2 linked regions of the Arabidopsis thaliana genome follow. The protein of the gene in region 2 interacts with the protein of the main gene of each other region in a biochemical or structural test. Each region holds a gene or a part of one and is shown on either strand. Other genes may lie near its edges. The genes, in order: TERT and MCM5.

The links.
Region 1: the proteins of MCM5 (region 2) and TERT form a complex in vitro, tested with the Arabidopsis thaliana proteins (one study listed by BioGRID).

The regions. Positions count from the first base shown.
Region 1 is NC_003076.8:5,535,375-5,548,130, forward strand, and holds TERT (telomerase reverse transcriptase), read right to left. Parts: upstream 8,186-12,756; 5' UTR 8,071-8,185; coding exon 7,771-8,070; intron 7,616-7,770; coding exon 7,541-7,615; intron 7,460-7,540; coding exon 7,394-7,459; intron 7,313-7,393; coding exon 7,201-7,312; intron 7,022-7,200; coding exon 6,675-7,021; intron 6,379-6,674; coding exon 6,306-6,378; intron 6,184-6,305; coding exon 6,051-6,183; intron 5,866-6,050; coding exon 5,730-5,865; intron 5,467-5,729; coding exon 4,414-5,466; intron 4,242-4,413; coding exon 3,712-4,241; coding exon of another isoform or gene 3,696-3,711; intron 3,613-3,695; coding exon 3,340-3,612; intron 3,223-3,339; coding exon 2,949-3,222; 3' UTR 2,806-2,948; downstream 1-2,805. Other genes in the region: BPA1 (binding partner of acd11 1), read left to right, coding at 668-673, 1,381-1,490, 1,650-1,719, 1,943-2,017, 2,131-2,652; AT5G16860 (Tetratricopeptide repeat (TPR)-like superfamily protein), read left to right, coding at 8,460-11,012; AT5G16870 (Peptidyl-tRNA hydrolase II (PTH2) family protein), read right to left, coding at 11,601-11,650, 12,022-12,048, 12,216-12,285, 12,544-12,613, 12,692-12,751. UniProt on the Arabidopsis thaliana protein: Telomerase is a ribonucleoprotein enzyme essential for the replication of chromosome termini in most eukaryotes. It elongates telomeres.
Region 2 is NC_003071.7:3,519,932-3,531,435, reverse strand, and holds MCM5 (Minichromosome maintenance (MCM2/3/5) family protein), read left to right. Parts: upstream 1-3,935; 5' UTR 3,936-4,047; coding exon 4,048-4,317; intron 4,318-4,385; coding exon 4,386-4,529; intron 4,530-4,606; coding exon 4,607-4,786; intron 4,787-4,865; coding exon 4,866-4,964; intron 4,965-5,035; coding exon 5,036-5,172; intron 5,173-5,271; coding exon 5,272-5,377; intron 5,378-5,671; coding exon 5,672-5,806; intron 5,807-5,893; coding exon 5,894-5,971; intron 5,972-6,177; coding exon 6,178-6,282; intron 6,283-6,373; coding exon 6,374-6,465; intron 6,466-6,550; coding exon 6,551-6,683; intron 6,684-6,786; coding exon 6,787-6,882; intron 6,883-7,031; coding exon 7,032-7,123; intron 7,124-7,213; coding exon 7,214-7,304; intron 7,305-7,386; coding exon 7,387-7,496; intron 7,497-7,580; coding exon 7,581-7,710; intron 7,711-7,789; coding exon 7,790-7,891; intron 7,892-7,973; coding exon 7,974-8,057; 3' UTR 8,058-8,452; downstream 8,453-11,504. Other genes in the region: ABCC13 (multidrug resistance-associated protein 11), read right to left, coding at 8,945-9,380, 9,462-9,649, 9,823-9,984, 10,233-10,343, 10,413-10,505, 10,649-10,747, 10,832-10,954, 11,054-11,107 and 2 more. UniProt on the Arabidopsis thaliana protein: Probable component of the MCM2-7 complex (MCM complex) that may function as a DNA helicase and which is essential to undergo a single round of replication initiation and elongation per cell cycle in eukaryotic cells.

The sequences.
Region 1 (12,756 bases), on a different chromosome or scaffold from region 2:
GCCATTGCGAGGGAAGAATCCTGCGTGTCGTTGTTGACCTCACCTGCCCTTCCGTGTAAAATTGAAACTCGGTTCGAGTAAACCGGACCAATTGAGTGGGTTTGCAGGATAAGGATTGGTTAAATGATTTTGGGCTACATTGGAGTTTAGTAAAAGGAAAAGAGAAGAGTTGGGCCAAAAACAAGGAGAAGTCCAACTTTTTTGTAATTACCAAGTTATCATATTTTATGACTGAATTAATAATTACAGTAATCACTTTGATACATAAACCACTTTTTATAGAAAAACAATGATATATTTTTGTTGATAAAAAGTAAAATTTTTATGTATTTTTTTCTAATAAAACATAAACTTAATAATTGTGTTACGAAACTCCTAACTTTTGTTTTGAACTGAAGAGGGAAAAAATAGAAATATATACTAAAAAAGTGAAAATATTAATTGTTGGAAACAATTAGGGACTAAAATAGGATTAAAGGGCGTAACGCAAACCCACACGTTGAGTGTGAGGTGTCATATAAAGCAAAATACACTCTTCCCTCTCTATCTATCTACGCATCATCGATCTCGAAGTACGTTTCGGTTTTCAGGCCAATCTCTGAATCTGCGTGACAAAAGCAACAAATTACATATCTCTCTCTCTGCGCGACTTCGAAGATCAACATCCATGGCGGTATGCTCTACTTTTTTTTTGTGTATAATTTTGTTTTATGCGGAAAAGGTTTAGGTTTCCTCTGCTGGTAGATATTGTTGCGATCCATTTGTTTATCGGGAAATTTTCTCAGGATTGATATTTTTGGCTATTGATTTGATTTCTTCTTCAATTTGGATGATCTGTTGTTTGATTGCTGCACTTGCCGACATAATATCTCCAATGCTATTTGGACGAGTTTGATGATTATTATTGTCGTTATTAATTGATTCTGTATCTCTGTGTGATCTGTATTCGTGCAATTATCTCTATTATCTCCTTGATTTCTCGGTTTTGGTTTTCGTTTATCGTAGTAAATCGCGATTGTGTTATTCTCAATTTGGAACCGAATCTCGCTAGCCAATTTACTTTTAGATTCCTCCATACATTGTCGATTAGTTTCCTTAATTGGTAGCCTTCATGGTTCATTCGAGTTTTCTTTTTGTATAGTGAGATGATGACAGTCATCTTCTAAGCCACTATAATATTATCCCTTTACTTGCATAATTGTATAATCTTGTGATAAATCTAGGCTTCTTTGAGTTTGAGCTGATTTGATTAAAATGGGACTTTCGGTCGATTAGATATGCTTGGATACAAAAAGTAGTTGTACTGTAAACATTCTCATGAAACACCTGTTTATTGTTTTCGTTAATGATTCTTTCCCTTTTGATTCTTTATGATGACAGTCACAGGTAAGGTCAGTAAAAGTTGGCAATCTCTCTTCAGGAGCAACTGAGCATGATATTAAAGAGTTTTTCTCTTTCTCTGGTGAAGTTGAAAGCATCGATATCCAAAGGTTAGTGATATTGTTTCCTTGTTCTTTGATTTCAAAATTTTGACATTTAAAGCTTTTTTTGATCAATTAACTTCCGAAGCTTTTTCTCAGCAAATTTAGATACAGTTCTCTTAAACTTACTGACTCTGAGCTTTGTTTTTGTTTTCTTTTTCTAACTAGCAGTAACGAGCATAGTGCTTATGTCACATTTAAAGAAACTCAAGGAGCAGAGACTGCTGTGCTCTTATCTGTGGGTTCACTCTTATCTCAATATTATTGTAGTAGCATTCAACTCTTACATAACACTGTTAATTTAGTAATCAATCCATGTCTATAAACCTTCGTTTAATATGGTTATACTTCTCTAGTCCAGACAAAGTATCTCTGAGTATTTATAAGTAAAATTAGTTTGCTTACAACTAATATTTGGGACCATTTGCAATTTGCATTACTAACAAGGGGTGTTATTTCAGGGAGCGAGTATTGCCGATCAATCAGTCATCATTGAGTTGGCTCCCAACTACAGTCCACCAGCAGCCCCTCATGCTGTAATGTCTTCTTCATACTGTTTTTCTTCTTTTTGATTAGTGAAAAGTATTCATCTCAACACTCAATAGAGCAGTAATTTCGTAGAGGTGTTAATTTGTGTTAATTTTCTCAGGAAACACAGAGCAGCGGTGCAGAATCTGTTGTCCAGAAGGCAGAAGATGTTGTGAGCAGCATGTTAGCAAAGGGTTTCATTCTTGGGAAAGATGCTGTCGGCAAAGCAAAAGCTTTTGATGAGAAACATGGTTTCACCTCAACCGCCACCGCAGGAGTTGCTTCACTAGACCAAAAAATCGGTCTTAGCCAGAAACTTACAGCTGGAACAAGCTTGGTGAACGAAAAAATCAAGGCGGTGGACCAAAACTTTCAGGTAACAGAGAGGACCAAGTCTGTGTATGCAGCTGCGGAGCAGACTGTGAGCAGTGCAGGAAGCGCTGTGATGAAGAACCGTTACGTGTTAACTGGTGTGAGCTGGGCCGCAGGAGCATTCAATAGAGTGGCTCAAGCAGCTGGAGAGGTTGGACAGAAAACAAAAGAGAAGGTTGAAGCTGAGCAACCATCGCAACCAGCACAGTCGCAGCAGCAACTGCCAGAAGGGTATTCTCCGATTCATTCGTCCGAATACTCGAAGAACTAATATCATCAAGTTAAACAGTTTCCTTTGTTTCTCCTTGTTGGTTTCTTTGACATGGAAGTTGGAAATCTGGTTTGGTCTTTGGGATGTACCATATAAGCTATGCCTGGATTTTCCCTACCACTATTAGACTATAGTTTGGGTTTTTTCCAATATACATATTTAATAAGTTGACATTTAAATCTTTCTTTACCCTAAATGTTACAAATCCATTTTGTTCCTAGATTATCAAAATGACTGAAATAGAAATTTAAAGGATCTACCTAAGTTTCGATGATAAAATCTAGTTAAGATCAGTTTCAATAATTCAACTTCCACAGCGAAGAAGAGTTTGACCGGTCTGTTGCATACCTCAATTCCGACGATAGCTGCTGAGAAAGAGAGTGTTTAGAAAGTGCAGATTTTAAATAGATCAAGAGCATTCGATATCTCGAGTTTTTCTTCTTCAGAACTTGAATATAAGCGTCTAAGCCAAGCCATATCACTTCTTCTTTGTATAGTTTAAGAACTGGTCTGAAACTAGAACCAGTGTTGATTCTGCGCACCCTTCTATTTATGAGTCTGAACATGTACCTATCAGTTGGAAAGAAATCAAGAACCGAATAAGCAAAAAAAGACCGAATAACTCAAATCAGAATGATCCAAAAACCGAAATGCTCACAGACATATGATGTAGTTTTGATTCCATACCTGACAGATATTGTGATGAATTTGAACAAAGTTTGAGGATGAAGCTTCCAAAACCGGGACACCTCGTAGACATAACAGTGAAACTTCATTGCAGCCAACAGAAAGATCTGATAGATGTTTAACCTGACGATTTCTCCCGAGTTGATGTTCGAGTCAAATAGAATTGGATGACATTTCGGAACCAAGAAGTAACACAATTTTTGCCGAAGATTTCTAACTGGTTTGTTCTGCCAAGCTACAGAAAAAGTTGAGCTTATATGGCCACTCAAGTACCTGTTTCCATGAATTTGAGGCAAAATTATAAATAAAAGCTGAGGAAACAGAGCCAAACAAGTATACTTATGAAGGAAACATACAGGAGATGAGGCAGACCTTGTGTAGTCAACTTGAACTTCAAATGTGCGGGAATTAATAAGCAAACCCGTCCATCTGACAAAAGGAACTCCATTATCTCCCACAAACATTCTATTAGAAGAACACCTATGTTCTTCTTTATCTTCAAAATTTATGCAGAATTTTGTTTCGTTCATGAAGCAGTTGTAATCTTTAAATCCATGCTTCAACCTGTGATAGAAGCTACTCGCCTGATCTCTTGAGGTAGACACAAAAAGGTAGTCATCAATAAATCTCAGTAACTTATAGCTCGTGGGAATTATAAGCTCTTCCTCTCTACTGCATTCTTTAGAAGACACATCTTTAGAGGCTTCTTCGAGGAATGGGTAGATCAAAGTCCTCTCGAGATGCCCGTAGTAAAAACAACATAACAAGGATGATAATCTGTGTCCCTGAGGTATTCCAGCTATTTGTACATAGAAGCTTTTATCCAACTGCAGCATGTTGTTCTTTAGCATATTTCCTATCCAAACCATTAGATCCTTTTTCCTCACTCGATGGTTTTCTCCCTAGAAGGTTGGACCAAAACCATAACACCGTTAAGCAAATAAGTAAAGAACAACAGGGACGCTACAAGCACTAAGAAAAGAGATCTCTAGAGATTTTTTTAAGTAGTCCAATAGTTTTGTATTTTACCCTCTGCAAAAAGATCAAAAAGCTCTAGGTCAAAAAGAAGCATACCTTATCAACCACGATACTTTGCAGTGCATTATATGGAACAGTTGATGTGAATCTTGAAAAGTTAGAATTTTTGTCACTCGAGACTAGTATTTTGTTTACCCAATTGGATCTCTTCCCACAGCAGACCAGCCTACATCTGTTTAAGATGTATTCATCTTTCAGAAAACTTTGAATGACATGAAGCAGCTTACCCTGGTCGACTGAATCAAATGCTTTGAATACATCCGCAACCACAAAGTACAAAGGAGGAAGTTCTCCAGATTGACTTCTTAAATGGATCAGATATGGGCATAGGTTTCTGTAGAAATCATCATGGTCAAAGACAGAAGACCCAAGAACATCTGGTTCTTTGAGCTGGATGTCCTTCAAAACAGCATGTGTATCACGAAGAGATTGCGACCTTGACGAAGAACTAAAGTCTAACACCATCCTCACACCATTGGCCTTTGGTAAAAATCTAAACTTTGATAGCTTCTTCCTGCTACTTTCAGCTTCAGCATCGTCTACTAGGACATATCCATCAAGGGCTTTGCTAATTTCTTTGCTTATTAATCTTTCCCAGCTCCTTTTCCGGTAATAATAAATATTTAGCCGTCCTCCTTGGCTTTCAGTGGCATAGAAGTTGAAGTGCACCAATTTCTTGACAATCTCTAAAAAAAGCCAAGAAATCCATTTCGTGCACAACATCTGCTGTGTACTTCTGATGGATTCACTTTGGAGTTCATGTCCGTTGACCATACAGCATAACTCTTTTCTAGCAAAGAATGGGAAATCTGATGGTTTCACTTTATGCAAAAACTGATTCACTGTGCATTTCTCATTTCGTCGCCTTGAAACAAACCACGCTATATTTTTCCTAAGCACCCTCATCTGATGAGTGGTCCCAAGCAAACTTTCTGGAACAATGTACCTACAGATGGCCCAAATAAAGGAAACTACTTGGTCGTTCGTGCAATACAGCTTCCTTTCTTCAACACTGGGACATTTGGGTTTTCCCGTTTGTGATGAACTTGATCCATGAGGCAGCTTATCTGCTTTTTGCCTCCTTGAACTCTGTAATACAAGATATGCAAGGTTCGTCACTTCAAGGAAGCACTTGGAAGTGCCACGGATATGAATTCTTATGCAGGTTTGCACTATATATCCAAAGTCTATAAAGTAGCAACTGTGTTGATTTTCCATTTCTAGTTTCTTTTTGTTGTACATATTCGAATATTCAACATAACTTCTCTGAAATAGAAATACTCAAAAGACATCAAACGAAAAACGCTAGGGAAATTAAATATGAAAACCATCTCTAAAAGAAAAATATCAACCTGAGAAGTCGTTCCGGACTTCAATGCATCCTCTTGCAGCAAGAGAACAGGACAGTGTTTGTCTAGTAGCATTTTTAAATGTGAAGACTTTGTTTTTCCTATTAGATTTTTAAGAGACTTGAGCAATGAATGGTATCTGCAAATCAATGTAAAAGACATCATGATATCATTTTCTTCTTTGCATCAGTTACCTCAACAAAACTTTTAAACAAATTCCTTTTATAACTCAGACTACTTAGATATGTGCTCTACATTATCTGAATACATGCTCCAAGTCTCAGAGTAAGCCGAAGAACTTACAAGAATAAATGGATGACTTACAAGCAAATAGATCCACTGGGGCAATTGCCTTTGCCATGAGATGGCGTCGTTGACCAAACATTTACTTCACCAAATATATGGTTCATTAGGAGCTTTGAATCAGAGCAGTTGGGCCTCAAGGTTTTTAAAATGTCTGTATATCATAAGGAATCATTCACAATGCAGAAGAACTGTATAGAGAAGAGTAACGTTTAAACTTCCATCAAGCTATCGTTGCTACAAGTCATTGAACATGTCAAAACCACTGAAGGATACGGTTTGGTGGTATAACTGAATACGTTTCTGAGAGGCCAAACTTGAAATTCTTGTTTCTTTTAACCTGTTTAGCCTACAAAAAACAGTGATTAAATCTTACAAATACAAGAACAGATTGTCGAATTTGAAGGTAATGAAGTGTCAGGAAGAATATTAATAACCACCAGAATACAACAAGATAAATGATACAGTTTTTAAAATACACCAAAGTACAACTACAAAAATAGTCCCATCAATTTCTCAAGGCTGAGGATAAATCAAGAGCAATTTATACACGTCTCTTAGTAATTTTAAGCAATAACTTTATGTTTAAACTTGTGCATTTTCAACTTAAACTTGATTGATCAATATCATTGTTACGAACATTACCTGCTTTACAAAATCAGTGAGACTTCCATTTATACCAATGTGCAGATTCATTTCGTCATTACCAGTTGAGACTTTACCATTTGTACTGGGAGTTATACAAGGAGCATTACAGTCAACTTTTTTGAAATTGACCTTTCTCTGCTTTCGCCGACGCTTAAGATATATTCTTGAACGCTTAGTAGTTTTTTTCTCTCTATGTTGGTCTACATCCTCGCCAACTATGGGCGTAATAGTTGCAGAGTCATCCTTAGGACAGTCATCGACAGCTGAAGAAAGCCACTGCCTTTTCGTTGGTGGCTGAACGTTGTCATCCCTCTTTCTTTTGTTTTCATGGACTGACAATGTCCCTATACCATGGAGAAGGAAAACTTTACTAAGTTAATATGAACTAAAAACCAGAAGTTGATAATCGATAACCAAGCAGTCACAGACAAATCATAAGTATTCAGAGAACCAACAAGAAAGTGGAAGTTTCAAAAGAAAGCCAACAGAAGAGCTCGGATACAAGTTTAATTCTGAGACTCACGCTTATGCTTGATACATAGAGGAGGTCCAGACACTTGCTGGTGTTTTTTCCCTAGTAATGGTAAGAATATTGATGTTTGCTGTAGAAGATAAACCATGACGTCATGACCGACCTATAAACAAGGGAACTTGAATATTAGTGACCGCAAACTCGAATATTGAAAGTAAATCATCAAAAGGGTTTGAGAACAAACCCGCTTGAGAAGAAACTCCCAAGATGAACTTGTCAATAGCTCCAAAATAGGGCTCGACTGATCATACTGTCAAAGGAGACGAGAAATCATTAGGCTAAGAAAATCAGCACTCTACATTGAGTTTGAGAAGGAAGAAGAAGAATTCACCTTATCATATCTGGCACATATCACATTTTGGCAATCACATCCAGATTGCATCATTTCAATAATCCTTTCAACAATCTGATAAACTCAATTGAAGCAAAATGTTTAGAAATCAGCAACATCATACAAAATAAGATAACATAGAGGCATTTTATAAGGAGTAGCCACGTCTTGAAATATCTCAAATTAAGCACTCAAAGCAATGTATAGTACAGTGGGAAGAAGAATCTTACCTCTCTCTGTGACCACCAAGATGTTGGAGAGAAATCCAGAAGCGGAGGGGTTTGTTCGTGAAGTACAACGAAGCAACGGTGAAGAAGTTTACGGTAGTGAATGGGATCATCGGAACGCAGCAGAAACGCCGGTTTATCGCTGCTGCAACCGAGACAACCTTGACCCCGGCATCGGCATTGCTCCGGCTGGATATTCCGGTTAGGAATCAGATCTACTATTGCGTCGTTTAAATTCCTGGCTCTGTTTCCGAATAACCTCCATAGAATCTCCGGTACACGATGTCTAGGTTTACGCGGCATTACACCTTCCTCCTCCTTTCTCTCGAATTTGGAGAGAGAGAAGAGTGAACGAGCTTCGATAATGGAGTCTGATGGTGTGAAAGAGGCGGGAGATTAAAGGTCTTCTGGGTTCTCGAAACTATAAACTGCGATTTTGAAAATTTCAAAACAATTCAAAGCTGAGCTACAAACGCTATCCAAAGCGTCCACTCAACCGCAAACGCAGGTCGCTTAGCACATAAACCGAACCGAAATTCGCTTTAAATTTTAATCGGTCTATTATACTTTCTTCTTCTTTTCACATCCGGTTTCATTACTTTCTTCAAATTTCCAATCTAAAACCGGGATATAACCGAATTGATTTGTTTAGTTTAAACGCAGAAATCACCCGCCACTCTAGTTACAGTAGTATGATCCGCCGCCTTCTCATCCCCAACGCCGCCGCAAAATCTCACCAGTACATTAAAGTCTCTCTCTTCTCGACATCGGCGCCGGAGATAACACCGCCGTTTATTCACAAATGCAAAACCATCTCTCAGGTCAAGCTTATTCACCAGAAACTCCTCTCTTTCGGAATCCTAACCTTGAATCTCACTTCCCACCTCATTTCCACCTATATCTCCGTCGGTTGCTTATCTCATGCCGTATCTCTCCTCCGTCGTTTTCCTCCATCTGACGCTGGTGTCTACCATTGGAATTCACTCATTCGCAGCTACGGCGACAATGGCTGCGCCAATAAATGTCTCTATTTGTTCGGCCTTATGCATTCTCTGTCATGGACGCCGGATAATTACACATTCCCCTTCGTCTTCAAGGCTTGCGGCGAGATATCCTCCGTTCGTTGTGGAGAATCTGCTCACGCGCTTTCTCTGGTAACTGGATTTATCTCCAATGTCTTTGTTGGGAATGCGCTTGTTGCTATGTATTCCCGTTGTCGTTCATTGAGTGATGCACGGAAGGTGTTCGACGAAATGTCTGTTTGGGATGTTGTATCGTGGAACTCTATAATAGAAAGTTATGCAAAGTTAGGCAAACCTAAGGTGGCGCTTGAAATGTTTAGCAGGATGACCAATGAATTCGGATGTAGACCTGATAATATTACCCTTGTGAATGTTCTTCCTCCTTGTGCTTCCCTAGGAACTCATTCACTAGGGAAGCAATTGCATTGTTTTGCAGTCACAAGTGAGATGATACAGAATATGTTTGTAGGGAATTGCTTGGTGGATATGTATGCAAAGTGTGGGATGATGGATGAGGCAAACACGGTGTTTTCGAACATGTCAGTGAAGGACGTAGTATCTTGGAATGCTATGGTTGCTGGGTATTCACAGATTGGAAGGTTTGAAGATGCTGTTAGGTTATTTGAGAAGATGCAGGAAGAGAAAATAAAAATGGATGTTGTTACTTGGAGTGCTGCTATTTCAGGGTATGCTCAACGGGGACTTGGATATGAAGCTTTGGGTGTGTGTAGGCAGATGTTGTCTTCTGGGATAAAACCAAATGAAGTCACGCTTATTTCGGTTCTTTCGGGTTGTGCTTCTGTTGGAGCATTGATGCATGGTAAAGAGATTCATTGTTATGCCATCAAATATCCCATAGACTTGCGTAAGAACGGTCATGGTGATGAGAATATGGTAATCAATCAACTGATTGACATGTACGCTAAGTGCAAAAAGGTTGATACTGCACGTGCTATGTTTGATTCACTTTCCCCCAAGGAAAGGGATGTTGTGACTTGGACTGTGATGATAGGTGGATACTCCCAGCACGGGGATGCAAATAAAGCTCTCGAACTTTTATCTGAGATGTTTGAGGAAGATTGCCAAACAAGACCAAATGCTTTTACCATATCATGTGCCCTCGTGGCATGTGCCAGTTTGGCTGCACTAAGAATTGGCAAGCAGATTCATGCTTATGCGTTGCGCAACCAGCAGAATGCAGTACCGCTGTTCGTATCAAACTGTCTAATAGACATGTATGCAAAATGTGGAAGCATCAGTGATGCCCGCCTTGTATTTGACAATATGATGGCGAAAAATGAAGTTACTTGGACATCTCTAATGACGGGTTATGGTATGCATGGTTATGGAGAAGAAGCTCTTGGAATCTTTGATGAAATGAGGAGAATAGGTTTTAAGCTTGATGGTGTTACATTACTTGTTGTATTATATGCTTGTAGTCATTCAGGAATGATTGATCAGGGCATGGAGTATTTCAATAGAATGAAAACTGTTTTTGGGGTTAGTCCTGGTCCGGAGCATTATGCATGTTTGGTTGACTTGTTAGGTCGTGCTGGCCGGTTGAATGCAGCTTTGCGTCTCATTGAAGAAATGCCAATGGAGCCTCCTCCTGTGGTATGGGTTGCTTTTCTCAGTTGCTGCAGAATCCACGGAAAAGTTGAACTCGGGGAGTACGCTGCGGAAAAAATAACAGAATTAGCATCTAATCATGATGGATCATATACATTACTCTCAAATTTGTATGCAAATGCAGGGCGTTGGAAAGATGTGACTAGGATCAGATCATTGATGAGACATAAAGGAGTTAAGAAAAGACCTGGTTGTAGTTGGGTTGAAGGAATTAAAGGAACTACTACGTTCTTCGTGGGTGATAAAACTCATCCACACGCTAAGGAAATATACCAGGTCCTCTTAGATCACATGCAACGCATCAAGGACATTGGTTATGTTCCTGAAACAGGCTTTGCTCTTCATGATGTAGACGATGAAGAGAAAGATGATCTTCTTTTCGAGCATAGTGAGAAGTTAGCTCTTGCATATGGTATTCTAACAACTCCGCAAGGTGCTGCTATCAGGATTACTAAGAATTTACGGGTATGTGGTGATTGCCATACAGCATTCACATACATGTCCAGAATCATTGATCATGATATTATATTGAGGGACTCAAGTCGCTTCCATCATTTCAAAAATGGATCGTGTTCATGCAAAGGTTACTGGTGATGATGCTCTCTCTATGCACTCTACCAAACACGGAAGCAACCTGAGGGTTTTGACATGGCTACAGCAGATTTCAGGAACGATCTAAAGGGACAAAGAAAGGGATAATAAGCACTGTGTTAAACACCTCATGTAGATTATATAATTTAAGCAAATTTTGTAGATGAATAGCTTTCTTCTTTATTTTTGGTAGATAATCACACTCCATACCATGGGTTTATCTTCAATAAACAAGATCTGTTGTTACATTTGAAATGTTCATATAGCCAACACTCCCATGAACTGGCATTAGAACAAGCCATTTTCTCAATGTGCCAAAAAAGGCTCGAGCTTTTGATACTTCTAATACAAATCCAGCAAAAAAAGATGATATCACCATTGGTAGAGGGAAATGCTACATGCCCATGAAAAATGGGGAAAATGTTTTAAAATGAATATTTCGTCATCATCAGGAACGAGTATACGTAACAACTACAGATTTCTCACAGGTAACCTCGGGCGAACAGAGAAGGTGGAGTTCATGTCTCTCCTTTCTGCTTGGTCCATCTGAGAGATCAGGTTGAAGAAATGTCATATCGAAATTCGAATCTGCTAAAGAAGCTTTAGTCCACCTGTTACTTCATCAACAACTTCGACTGGTCCTGCAGAAGTAAAATCTATAAGCGTTGGAATGTTGTGTTAAGAAATGCTGATAATATCCGATAAACAAATTCTGCTACAAGAATCTCTAACTCCTGGTCATAGAACGGTGCATATGAATTTGGATACCACGCAGAAAGTATACACCCTCTTCTGACCGAGTCAACTTTTGAGCTTACATTTCATATTTTGGATTCTTATGAACTATAGATTCCATTCAGGGTCAAGGACAAGCACCAAGCAATCAAGAGAAGTCATGAACTAATAAACTAGTACATTTCTCTAGGGTAAGTGTGATTTGCAACTCTCAAACTCATCACTTGTCCATCAGAGTCTTAACTTTCAAACACATATCTTAAAAATAACAACTTACCAAGAATAGCCATAACCGTCCTTGAATCTGGAAAGAACATGACGTATTATTAGATTCACATTTTCGCAGAAAATGATACTTACGAAAGAAGATTGAATCAAGAGAGCTTTCTCCCTGGCAATTAACTAGCAATCATAAAGTTTAAAGCACCAAGGGATTTCAAGTTCAAGAGGGGAGGAACTTATGAAACTCACTTGGGGCAATCTGTGTTCTTCCAGCATCAATGGTGATATGGGTAGGCAGTTTAAGGGATTTAGCTCTTTCCTGACAATTTTGTGAACAGTCAATACAAGATATAAGAAATGGGAAAAATCAAGATAAGCTCTATGATATCTCAAATTCCCCTTAAGTATTCATGTATATGGTCAGAACTCAGAAATTATCAAGAAACTAACATCTGGCAACTCCTGCAAAGCCCGTGAAGATCAATTTGGCAACAGCACTAAAGCTGTGAATCCAAAATATAGTTCAATAAAAAAAATCCACTTTACAGTCTACTACAATTTGTTTTAGTAAACTCACTTGCAATTCTAGCATCTCGTCCTCGTCCTCGATTTTCACAACAACTTTTGGCTGTGCACATTCCTCCCAGCTGCAATAGCAACCTATACTGTTAATTCAATCCATATATTAAGTAACAAATGGAATTGATCATGACTTAGAGGCATACCAGTCCAATGCTTTTGGCGCTCGACGAACAAGCTTCTTGTATAATCCTAAAGTTGCATGACTGCA
Region 2 (11,504 bases):
AGATATACATGAACGACTCATTAATTAGGTTGACCACTTGATCACTGTGCACATGTCACTATCATCCTCTTTTTTGTTTATCCTCTTTTTATCATCCTCTTTTTGACTCTTTTACCCCTTTTCTCTCTTTTCTTTTTTTCTTTCTTTTGTTTCTCTTTTATTTAATTTCTGACGATACAAAACTATAAGAATAATAATGGAAACATAAAATCAAATCGAAACAAAGATATTAAAATCAGTATTGGTGAGTTGACAAAAAAAGAGGTGGCGTGAATGAAAACGTGGATTGAGATGGCACGTTCATACAAATATTATCTAGATATTAAATATGTTAGCATGTTATTATTTTATATAACATGTTGTTTTAACTGCTATTATATTAATTATGTAAGAAATAAACTAATTCTTTAAATTGAACTGATATTTACATAAATAAAAATATATTAATTTTCAATTCTAGGTCGATAAAAGATTTGTTTAAAAGTAAACTTATCGCGATATCATATTTTTTAGCATATAAAACAAATAGATAAATGCTTAAATCATATGATGTTTTACTATATCATCTGATGAATAGTGTTTCGGTCGCATGTGAGCAGTGTTATCGAGCGGTTTATGAACTGTGTCGCCACATATTACGTCAGAAAAAATTGGGCTTCTTTCATGATTGGGGCATTTTCCAAGTTTTTAGTGCATTTAGGGCACATTGAAGAGAATAGACACTTTTTTGGAGTTTTTTCACTATTTTAAAAAAATCAATACCAGTTTACCCCTTATTCTCTTCACCTTAAATCAAGTAGCATGGTTAAGAAATGGTTTTGACGGAATCATCTCGTCCATCGAATTGAAAGGTAAAGTTAATCTCTTTTAATCTTGACCGTCAAATTTAAATAAATAAAACATATTTTCTCTATCTATCACTTTCTTATCTTTCTTGTCAATTTCTTCTCTCTCTTCCTTTTGTTATTTAATTTTTATTTAATTTAAGACATTCTCTATTTGATTAAAAATCATTTTTTATAAAATATATAATAATAACATTTTTTCCTTCATGAAATCCATATTACTATATTTATTCATACTATTATTTATTGTATCATCAAAACATAAACAGATTCAGAAAACAAAAAATCCATATGATTTAATCCATTTGGACAACAATGAAATATATAATCTTTAATGAGAACCATATAACCATAAACTCTAAAATCATTATAAACAATCATAGTTCCTTAACACTAAATTCTAAACCCTAAACATTAGATATTAAACTCTATACATTAAACCCTAACTTCTATATCTAAACCCTAAACCCTAAACTTTAACCCATAAACACTAAGCCCTTAACCATATACGTATACCCTATACCATATACCATATACCATAAACCCTAAATCCCAAACCTTCTTAATGTTGCCCATAAATATTAAGCTTAAACCTCTTATCCCTAAACCCTAAACCCTAAACCCTAAACTTTAAACCCTAAACGCTAAACCCTAAACTCTAAACCTTAAACACCTAAACCATAAACCCTAAACTTTAAACCATAGACACTAAGCCCTTAACCATAGAAATATATCATATACCATTTACCATATAAACCCTAAATTTTAAACCTTCTTATTATTGCTTATAAATATTAAGCATAAATCCCCTAAACATAAACCAATTGAGAACATAAAAAATTCATATGATTTAATTCATATGATCAAAATGGAAATATATAATCTAACAAGAAGCATATAACCCTAAACCCAAAAATAATTGTATATGACCATGGTCAATTAACCCTAAACCTTATACCATCTACAATAAACTCTATAATCATTGTAAACAATCATAGTTCCTTAACACTAAATCTAAAACCCTAAACACTAGATACTAAACTCTAAACATTAAACCCTAACCCCTAAATTTATACCCGAAACCCTAAACCCTAAATCTTAAATCCTAAATCCTAAATCCTAAATCCTAAACCCTAAACCCCTAAACCCTAAACCCTAAACCCTAAACTCTAAACCCTTGATATTAAACCCTAAACCTGTTAAACCATAAAGACTAAACCCTTAACAATATACATATACCATATCACGTATACCCTAAACCCTAAACCCTAAATTCTAAGATCTTCACTTTAAAACTTCTTGTTGTTGTCCATAAATATTAAACATAAATCCCCTAAATATAAACAAATTGAGATAGAAAATCCATATTATCCAATCCATATGGACAACAATGGAATATATAATCTCCAATGAGAAACATGTAACCATAAACCCTAAATCATTGTAGACAACTTTGATTCTTCAACCCAAAACCCTAAATCATCTAAACTAAACGCGAAATCCTAAACAATAAAGCCTAAATCCTAAAATGTAAACACTAGATACTAAATCTTAAACCCTAGACATTAAACCCTAGCCCTTGACTTTAAAGCCTAAACCCTAAAACCTAAGTTTTATATGTACATAATCTATAACCACCACTTTTGATCCATGATAATCTAAAGCACGCTTCTTAACCTGAAAACGTAAAATATTATTGAGATCGATGTGTTCATACACAATCTTACGATATACACTCGTATTTATGTTTTGTTAATATGTAATCGTGGATAAATAAATATAAACATTTTCATAAATAAACTTTTGTTGATATGACCAACAAAACTTGTTTCATCACATTTTATCAACATCTTTTACATAACGTAACACTGGTTTTATGAATAGTATTAACAAAACACAATCATTTTGAATTATCGACCGTCAACACACATCCACCAAACTCTGACCATGTGGTCATTTCAAATTATCGCCTATCACTCTTCTTTGATTTGTTTTGTATTTTTTCCATTTTTTCATTATTTGCTCATGTGTTTTAATGAAAATAGCATCAAACTACCTTTAAGTTACAAATTTATAGTAAGAATATATGTTTGGGTTCTTTAATTCAACTCTCTCTCTCTCTTTGAGGAATTTCCACAAATATTTGGTGGCCAAATCTAAGATTTGTAAAAAGACAAAAATTTGACCAAGACAATGATGGATACACTAAGAGAAGAAGAAACCTAGCAATTAAAAATGAAAATTTTAACCTTATGAGGTTGATTAAAGAATGAGAAACTGAATAAAAATCTTGAAAATTTCCAACTTTTAAGATCTAAGAAGAGAAAGAAAAAAGAAAAATCTAGATCTACTTTTTGGTGTTTTTGATGAGAGAGAAGAGAGATAATGTCTCAAACCATTTCCTTTTTTCATTAAGATATTTTAAGTGTTTTGTGTGTTTAATTTTGTAAAGAGTAGAGAAAAAAATGAATGAAAAGAGAGAAAAAGTAATGGTTGTAAATTATGGTAAGTTTGGATTGCTTAGGTTGGGTTGATGGTGTAGTAGTAAAAAAACTTTAAAAAGTGTTTACTCTTTCTAAAGTGCTTTATTGCGTAATTGAGTTTCAAAAAAGTGTCCAATTACCTAATATTCTCAAAAACATTTATCATGTTAATGACATTTCTGTAATTAACGTAAATGAGAAGGATATATATGGTTGATTTTTCTTTTCTTTTTTATAGTTACTTAATTTTCAAATTATTAATGTTATAAAACTAAAAACTATTCTTTTAAACATATATATTAATATAGCCTTAAATTTTAAGTGACATTGAAGAAAATTACGATGGAATTGAAAATGCTTACAACGATATTAAGTAGCTTAAAAATATGAAATTCTAAAATGTGCAATTCATAAATTTAAGATTCCTAGATGTAGTCCATAATTATATTTTTATCTGTTTGGTTTTTTATAATAAATTAGAAAAAATGGATAAAAAATGTAACCTTAGCTAAAAAGAAAAAGAAAGAAAGACCCAATAACCAACGAAATCCATTTACCCGTCCATAGGTCTTGGGTTCGGCCCATCAGTTTCCCGCCACATTGTTCCCGCCAAAACTCATAGTCGACATAAAGCCCTTGCCCCCACTCTCTCTCTTCGTTTAGAACTTTTTGATAAGAGAGAAAGAGATAGAGAAATTCGTAACGGAGACGAAGCAACGATGTCAGGATGGGACGAAGGAGCAGTTTACTACAGCGACCAGCCGCAGTTCCCGGAGGCCGGAGACGCCGCAACCATCAGTCCCCACGCCGTCTTAACCAAATTTAAGGAATTCATTCGAAACTTCGAGATCGAACAGAATTGTTTCCCCTACAGAGAAGCTCTCCTCGATAACCCTAAGCGACTTGTTGTCCACCTCGAAGATCTCCTCTCCTTTGATTCCGATCTCCCCTCCTTAATCCGATCTGCTCCTGCCGATTATCTCCCTGTGGTATGACTTCAAAAAAAATTAGGGTTCATATAAGCTTTGTATTGAGTGAGTCAATCTTTGAATTGTAGTTTGAGAAAGCAGCTGGTGAAGTGTTGACTGGATTGAAAATGAGGGAGGCTAATGAGGGAGGGGTAATGGAGGAACCTCTGACTAGAGATGTGCAGATTTTGCTCACTTCAAGAGAGGATCCAGTATCAATGAGATTACTTGGGGTATGTCTGTTTTTTTGTTTTTAGTATCAATGAGATTACTTGGGGTATGTCTATAATGTACTCTTTACTCTTGATAGGCACAGTACATCTCAAAGTTGGTGAAAATCTCTGGGATTAGTATTGCAGCTTCGAGAGTGAAAGCAAAGGCGACTTATGTGTTTTTGGTATGTAAGAATTGTAAAAAGACAAGGGAAGTTCCATGTCGTCCGGGTCTTGGTGGGGCAATTGTTCCTCGATCATGTGATAATATTCCACAGGTGAGTTCTTTTGATTCGTTTGTGATTTGAGTTTGTAGTTATCCTTGGTGTTGATTAGACCAAATTGGAATTTGTTTAGCCTGGAGAGGAGCCTTGCCCTCTTGATCCTTGGATGGTGGTTCCTGATAGGAGCCAGTATGTTGATCAACAGACCTTAAAGCTACAGGAGAATCCGGAGGTATAGATTTACATTGTAATGTTTTCGCTTTTTTTGCACTTGTATATATTAAATGCTTCTGAGTTTTGAAGGATGTTCCTACTGGAGAGCTTCCAAGAAATATGCTTCTCTCAGTTGATCGGCATCTTGTACAAACAATTGTACCTGGAACCAGACTGACAGTAATGGGTATCTACAGCATTTTCCAAGCTTCGTCATCATCTAACTCGTAAGCTTTGTAGTTTTATGTCAAATGAGAGTGTAGATTGTTTTCTGGGAGAGTTACACCACAACAATGATGGACATCTTTTCCTACTTTCTGATGTAGGCATAAAGGAGCAGTTGCAATTCGCCAGCCTTATATCCGAGTTGTTGGACTGGAAGACACAAATGAGGCCAGTTCCCGTGGCCCTGCCAACTTCACTCCTGACGAAGTTAGTATCGCATCATTTGGTTCTTTTTGTTTTCTCATTTGATAGCCTATGTCATCCATGGTTTCACAATGAACTATTGAAGTTAACATGGCTGAATTATTGTTACTGGAAACCAAATGCCTTAGGTAGCTGTTGGCTCTATGAAATTCTTTGTGTAACTCCCAAATGAATGTGATGGTGTTTTCTGGAAATATTCTCTGTGCTACTAGTTTACTATGAAACATTTAGGCCTGCTTGGAAGCCTAGTTGTACAATTCCATTTATCAGTTTTGTCTTCCATAATATTACTTTTAGGAGGAAGAATTCAAAAAGTTTGCTGATAGTCAAGATGTATACAAGAACATTTGCACCAAGATCGCTCCTTCTATATTTGGCCATGAGGATGTGAAGAGAGCAGCTGCGTGTCTTCTCTTTGGAGGATCCAGGAAGGTAGGAAACTGTGATAGCAGTTTTTATTTTCTGTGCACTTTGTATACGTTTTTGATATATTTATATACATTTCTATCTTTGATTCAGAGCCTGCCCGATGGAGTGAAACTAAGAGGTGATATTAATGTTTTGCTTTTGGGAGACCCATCAACTGCAAAATCACAGGTTTGTAATGTGGTCTCAGTATCAATGGTTTATAATAAGTGTGTTATTCTTTTTATATTTTCTTACGTCTCTCTTATTTGCTTGATATTCGTCTTACATCCTTCTGTTCAAGTGTTAGATTACAATCCTTACAAAATGTCTGTGTTATTTCCAACACCTGTAGCTTACATGTTTAAAGCTTAATTGCTTATTTTTTTTCTCTCTAGTTTCTTAAGTTTGTGGAGAAGACGGCTCCAATTGCTGTTTATACATCTGGAAAGGGTTCATCGGCTGCTGGGCTCACAGCTTCGGTGATTCGAGATAGCAGCACTGTATGTCCTATCTTCAAGTGTTTTTCTATGATTTGTTTAAAAGTAGTTGCTATGACAGATTCTCAGTTATTTATACATATGTTCATTGCAGCGAGAGTTCTATCTTGAAGGTGGTGCTATGGTTTTGGCTGATGGAGGTGTTGTGTGTATTGATGAATTTGACAAGATGAGACCGGAAGATAGGTAATTCAAATCTGAATCATAGTGTTGACGAATCTAATTTTTCTCTATGAGTAGAATTGATGGAATGTTTTTTTTTTCTTTATAGGGTTGCTATTCATGAGGCAATGGAGCAGCAGACAATCTCCATTGCAAAAGCTGGGATAACAACTGTCCTTAATTCTAGAACCTCGGTGCTTGCTGCTGCTAACCCGCCATCTGGTCGATATGATGACCTTAAGGTTTGAAATCTGGTACTCTCCTTTGGCAATATCATGGTTTTCCCGATTCTTGTTTGCAATATTCTTAAGAGATGGGTGTGTTTTTTTTTCTTTGGATTTGCAGACTGCTCAGGACAATATCGATCTGCAGACAACAATTCTTTCTAGATTTGATCTTATCTTCATTGTCAAGGACATCAGGAAGTATTCCCAAGACAAGGTAAGCAAGGAAAGGAACAATTCTTTCAGAAATTTTATGTAGTTAAAAGGGAAAACAGAGATTAATGATGGAGGTCACTGTTATTGGAAAGTTTGCTTCGTTGCTTGCTTATTATGTAGACATGATTAATGTTTATAATCTTTTCACAGGAAATAGCCAGCCATATTATAAGGGTTCATGCATCTGCAAACAAATTTTCGGATGAAAACACAGATTCTAAAGAAGATAATTGGCTCAAAAGGTGTGTTTTCATTCGTCGAGAAAACAATGTGTTCTCGCAGTTTTCTGTACAAAATCATGACTCTAAAATATAATGCTCTTTTTATGTTAGGTATATACAATACTGTCGAGCAAGGTGTCATCCCCGTCTCTCAAAAGACGCTGCTGAGAACCTGCAGCGGAAATATGTCACAATCAGAATGGTAATTGTCATTTACATTAGATTTGACAATAAGATGGTTAAAAAACAAAGTTGGTGTCAGTATAAAATTTTCGGCTAAACAGGATATGAAGAGACGTGCACATGAAACAGGAGAGGCTGCTCCGATACCTATCACAGTGAGACAACTCGAAGCTATTGTCAGACTGAGTGAGTCACTTGCAAAAATGAGACTGTAAGTAATCTTATTAACATAGAGATTCCTGATTCCTGAAACCTGATGGGATGTGCCGTCCATTGACATTGTTAAATATGTCAGGTCACACGAGGCCACACCAGATGATGTAGACAAAGCTTTTAAACTTTTTGATACCTCGACAATGGATGCAGCAAGATCAGGGATAAATCAACAGATAAACATAACAGGCGAGATGGCCAATGAAATCAAGGTTAGTTGCTTGTGGGGAAGAAAGAATCATCGTATCTCTAGATGTAATAACTAAATTTGGTATTGGTGTGAAAAAACAGCAAGCGGAAACACAGATAAAGAGAAGAATGGGGATCGGAGCTCGATTATCAGAGAGAAGACTGATAGAGGATCTGGCTAGAATGGGAATGAACGATTCAATGGTACCTAAGCTAACATCTTTGTTGTTTAATTTTCAGTAATGTGAATGGGATTTTTGAGGTAATGTGCATGTTAAAATGGCAGGTGAGGAGAGCTTTGTTGATAATGCACCAGAGAGGTGAAGTTGAGTACCAGCGAGAGAGACGTTCTATTGTCCGCAAAGCTTGATCGTCTAGGCATGCAATCTCTCTTCTTTAGTAGCAGCGATGACCAAACAAAACAAAATATTTAATATTATCAAGTTAATTTGTAGGCAAAAAGTAGAAAGAGAAGCTTATGTCATGTGTATTTGATGAAGATTCTTAGTAAACTTTTACGCTTGCTTCAAACTAATGTATTCTCCACCTTTGTTGTCCTTAGTTAAAATGTCACGCCAATGTTAGGAAAGCGTTTGAAGATTGCTGAATGGTATAATCTAGTGCCGATAGTTAAAGTAAAGATGCAGATAGAATAGTTGATAAAGTAAAAGTGTAATCTGAACGTATATGTAAATTAAAATTTTCTTAATGTTGTTATTAGTAGAATGTTGTTACCTTGAAAAAAAAATGAAATAAATAACCATGGTTGAACTTGACTCAAAATGTTCTTCTTTTAAACTGGTTCGGGTTACAAAACTAGTATGTTGTTGAATTTTGAACTGGTTCTGAAGCTCCCGGAATCTCTCAATTTCATTTTGTTCTTGTGTTGTTGAGAGATAATTGCTTCTCTATTTAACATATTTTTGGCCAATTACTTTACTCTATCATGCATAGCTTGGGAAACTCATGGCTAAAGCTGTTTTAAGTTGCAATGAAGAATCAATTCCTTCTGAACTAACTTCTTGGAAGAAAAACAGACAATAAGAGTACCATTGTTTACTTCTCAGTTCTCAATCACCATCGAATTAGATAGATATTTATGAATTTGGATTAGGCAAGTCCATGAAGACTCATTTATTATGGAAAACTGAGCATATAAATGAGCTACTACAGTTGAAACTAGTTTTTCTTAATTTCCATGACAAGATAATTATAGCAGAGATCAGAAGTTACAAGTGATCAGATTCTAACAACATTTCACTGAGAAGCTCTGACAAAGCTTGAAAAAGTTGAGGAGTCATCTTGCAAAAGATGTTGTGGTTTTCCTTGTTCAACAAGAATTCCACGATCAAGAATTAGGATGCTGTCTAAATCAACAACCGTAGAAATGCGGTGAGCAATGGTAATGACGGTTACGCCTTTGCATTCACTCGATATCGTGTTGTGGAGTAGGGAAGCTGTGTGAACATCGATGTTGGCGGTGCATTCATCAAGGCATAGGATCTTAGATGACTTGAGCAAAGCACGAGCAAGGCACAAAAGCTGTCTCTGTCCAACAGAAAAGGAACAACCAGATTCCTTTACATATGAATCTAACCCTCCTACACTTTCTACCGCTGCCTTAACTTTACACTTGTCTAGGATCTCCCAGATTCTCCAATCCTCACTCAACCCAAGAGGATCAAGGTTATCCCTACGAGAACCACAACTTTTTTTCATTATGAAACTGCAGGCAACACCTTTGGTTAGTGAATTGAAGGAGTTAAGTTCTCACCTCAGTGATCCTTGAAACAGAAAAGGGCTCTGAGGAACAACAGCGAGGCAAGAACGGAGTTCTCTTATCGGAAGATGGCTTATGTTTTTTCCATCCACCAATATCTCTCCACTACAAACAGGAGTAAGCCGGAAAAGCGCATTCAAGATCGAGGACTTCCCGGCACCAGTTCTTCCAATTACTCCTACCTGATAAATGAAAACAAAACAATCATGAGACAGAAAAAGTCAATTCTGTTGTAGAGTGCTCTCTCTAGCGGATAGTCTCTTCCCGATAACTTCATATAAATTGTATATGTTGGGAGAAAAGATAAAAACAGAAAAAGTCAAGTCTGTTGTAGAGTGCTCGGCGATACACGTACATGCATTCCTCCTTGGATTGTAAAAGAAATTTGGGTGAGGGCCGGAGGCAGAGTTGAGATGTATCTCATTGTCACATTGTGAAACTCAACTAATCCGTGAACAGGCCACTTATCGCTGAGAGATTGAGGACCTGAAACTTCTTCTTGAGGCACATCCATGTACTAATAACACAGGAGAGCATGGTTCATGTAATTAGTAACACTAACATACAAAAATTACTTAATGAATCAGAATCATTATCTTTATCTTTGATTTCTCGTAGTGCGAATGTAGAAGTGGATAATTTGGCACGACGAATTTGTACCGAACCACATCATATCATATATGTAAACAACATTCCTCAGGAATGGCTCTTTTGAGCTGCAATTAATTTCGGTTGACAAACCAAAAAAAGAATCAGAATCATTACCTGGAGAACCCTTTCAACAGAAACCATTTCTTTTTCTGTTTCAGTAAAACTTGTTAACAAGCTTCCTAACAGAGAAACCAATGGAGCTGCATATGAGAGCGCTAATCCCACCTGTGATCCAAATTATAAATAGTATGCTTTTCACTTTCCTATATATTTATGAAAACTGCAGTTTCTTACCAGTCCAGGTGTACCAAAACTGATTGGAAAGTTCCCCCCGGAGCCGAGGACAGCCATTACAGCGACAAATAAGACAATCATTGATCCTAACAACTGCACCATTTTACTCAACTTATCAGCGATTTTTCGAGATTTCCATATTTATTGCAGACACATGAAACTAAACATTGTTACCAATTCTCAAAAGGTGAATGAAAAATGTTCTACAAAATGTAAGCAAAGATGTATTAGTGTACCTGAAGACGCAAGGAGAGCCACAAGCTTGCGATTATCTCTGAGTAAGAAGTCCGCTGGTATAGCGTCAAATGCTCAATAAATCTACCTACAAAATGCTCCTGTCATGCAAACCGGAATTAGCATACAGTTTTGTCATTAATGGAGAAGCAAAACCTGACATTTAGAAGCAGAACCAAAACTACCTCAGACTTAAAAGCCCTGATAGTTGATGACCCATCAAGTGTCTCCGTGAACGATGCATATATCGGTGATCGTGAAACACTGTCCAACCTTCGTAGTTCCCTTGAAGTAGACCTGTAGAAGACCTGAAGCAATTTTCAGTTAGTAGAAAATTTGAACTCTTCTTCTTCTCTAAGGGACACCAAATATGAAATCAGATTGGCTACAAGAAGTTGTATATGTACCTGAAGCTTGCTGTATATGTACCAAAATGGCAGAAGCAGAAGCAGGAATAGAACCTGTATACATATTATACATTAATGTAACTTCTCCAACAAAACAGAAGAGTTAATACTTAGCAAAAAGAGAGAAGAGTTTCAGACAAACCTGAACATAAGACAATACTACAATAATCCCTAACAAGCCAACAAAATTTGCTAGAAGAATGTTGAGAATAAACGGGAGAGAGTCGTCGATGGTATATAGATCAGAGGAAAACCTGAACAGAGTAAAACCAAAAAAAGAAGTTAAGATGAAGAACAAGACACATGATTCAAAGAGTTTCCTTGTGTCTAACCTATTAAGTATTCTTCCACTTGGTGTCTGATCAAAGAACTGTGTAGGTGCATTTATAAGCTTACTGATTAATGCATTATGAACATGCACTGCTGCTTTTAATCCTCCAAATGCAAATGA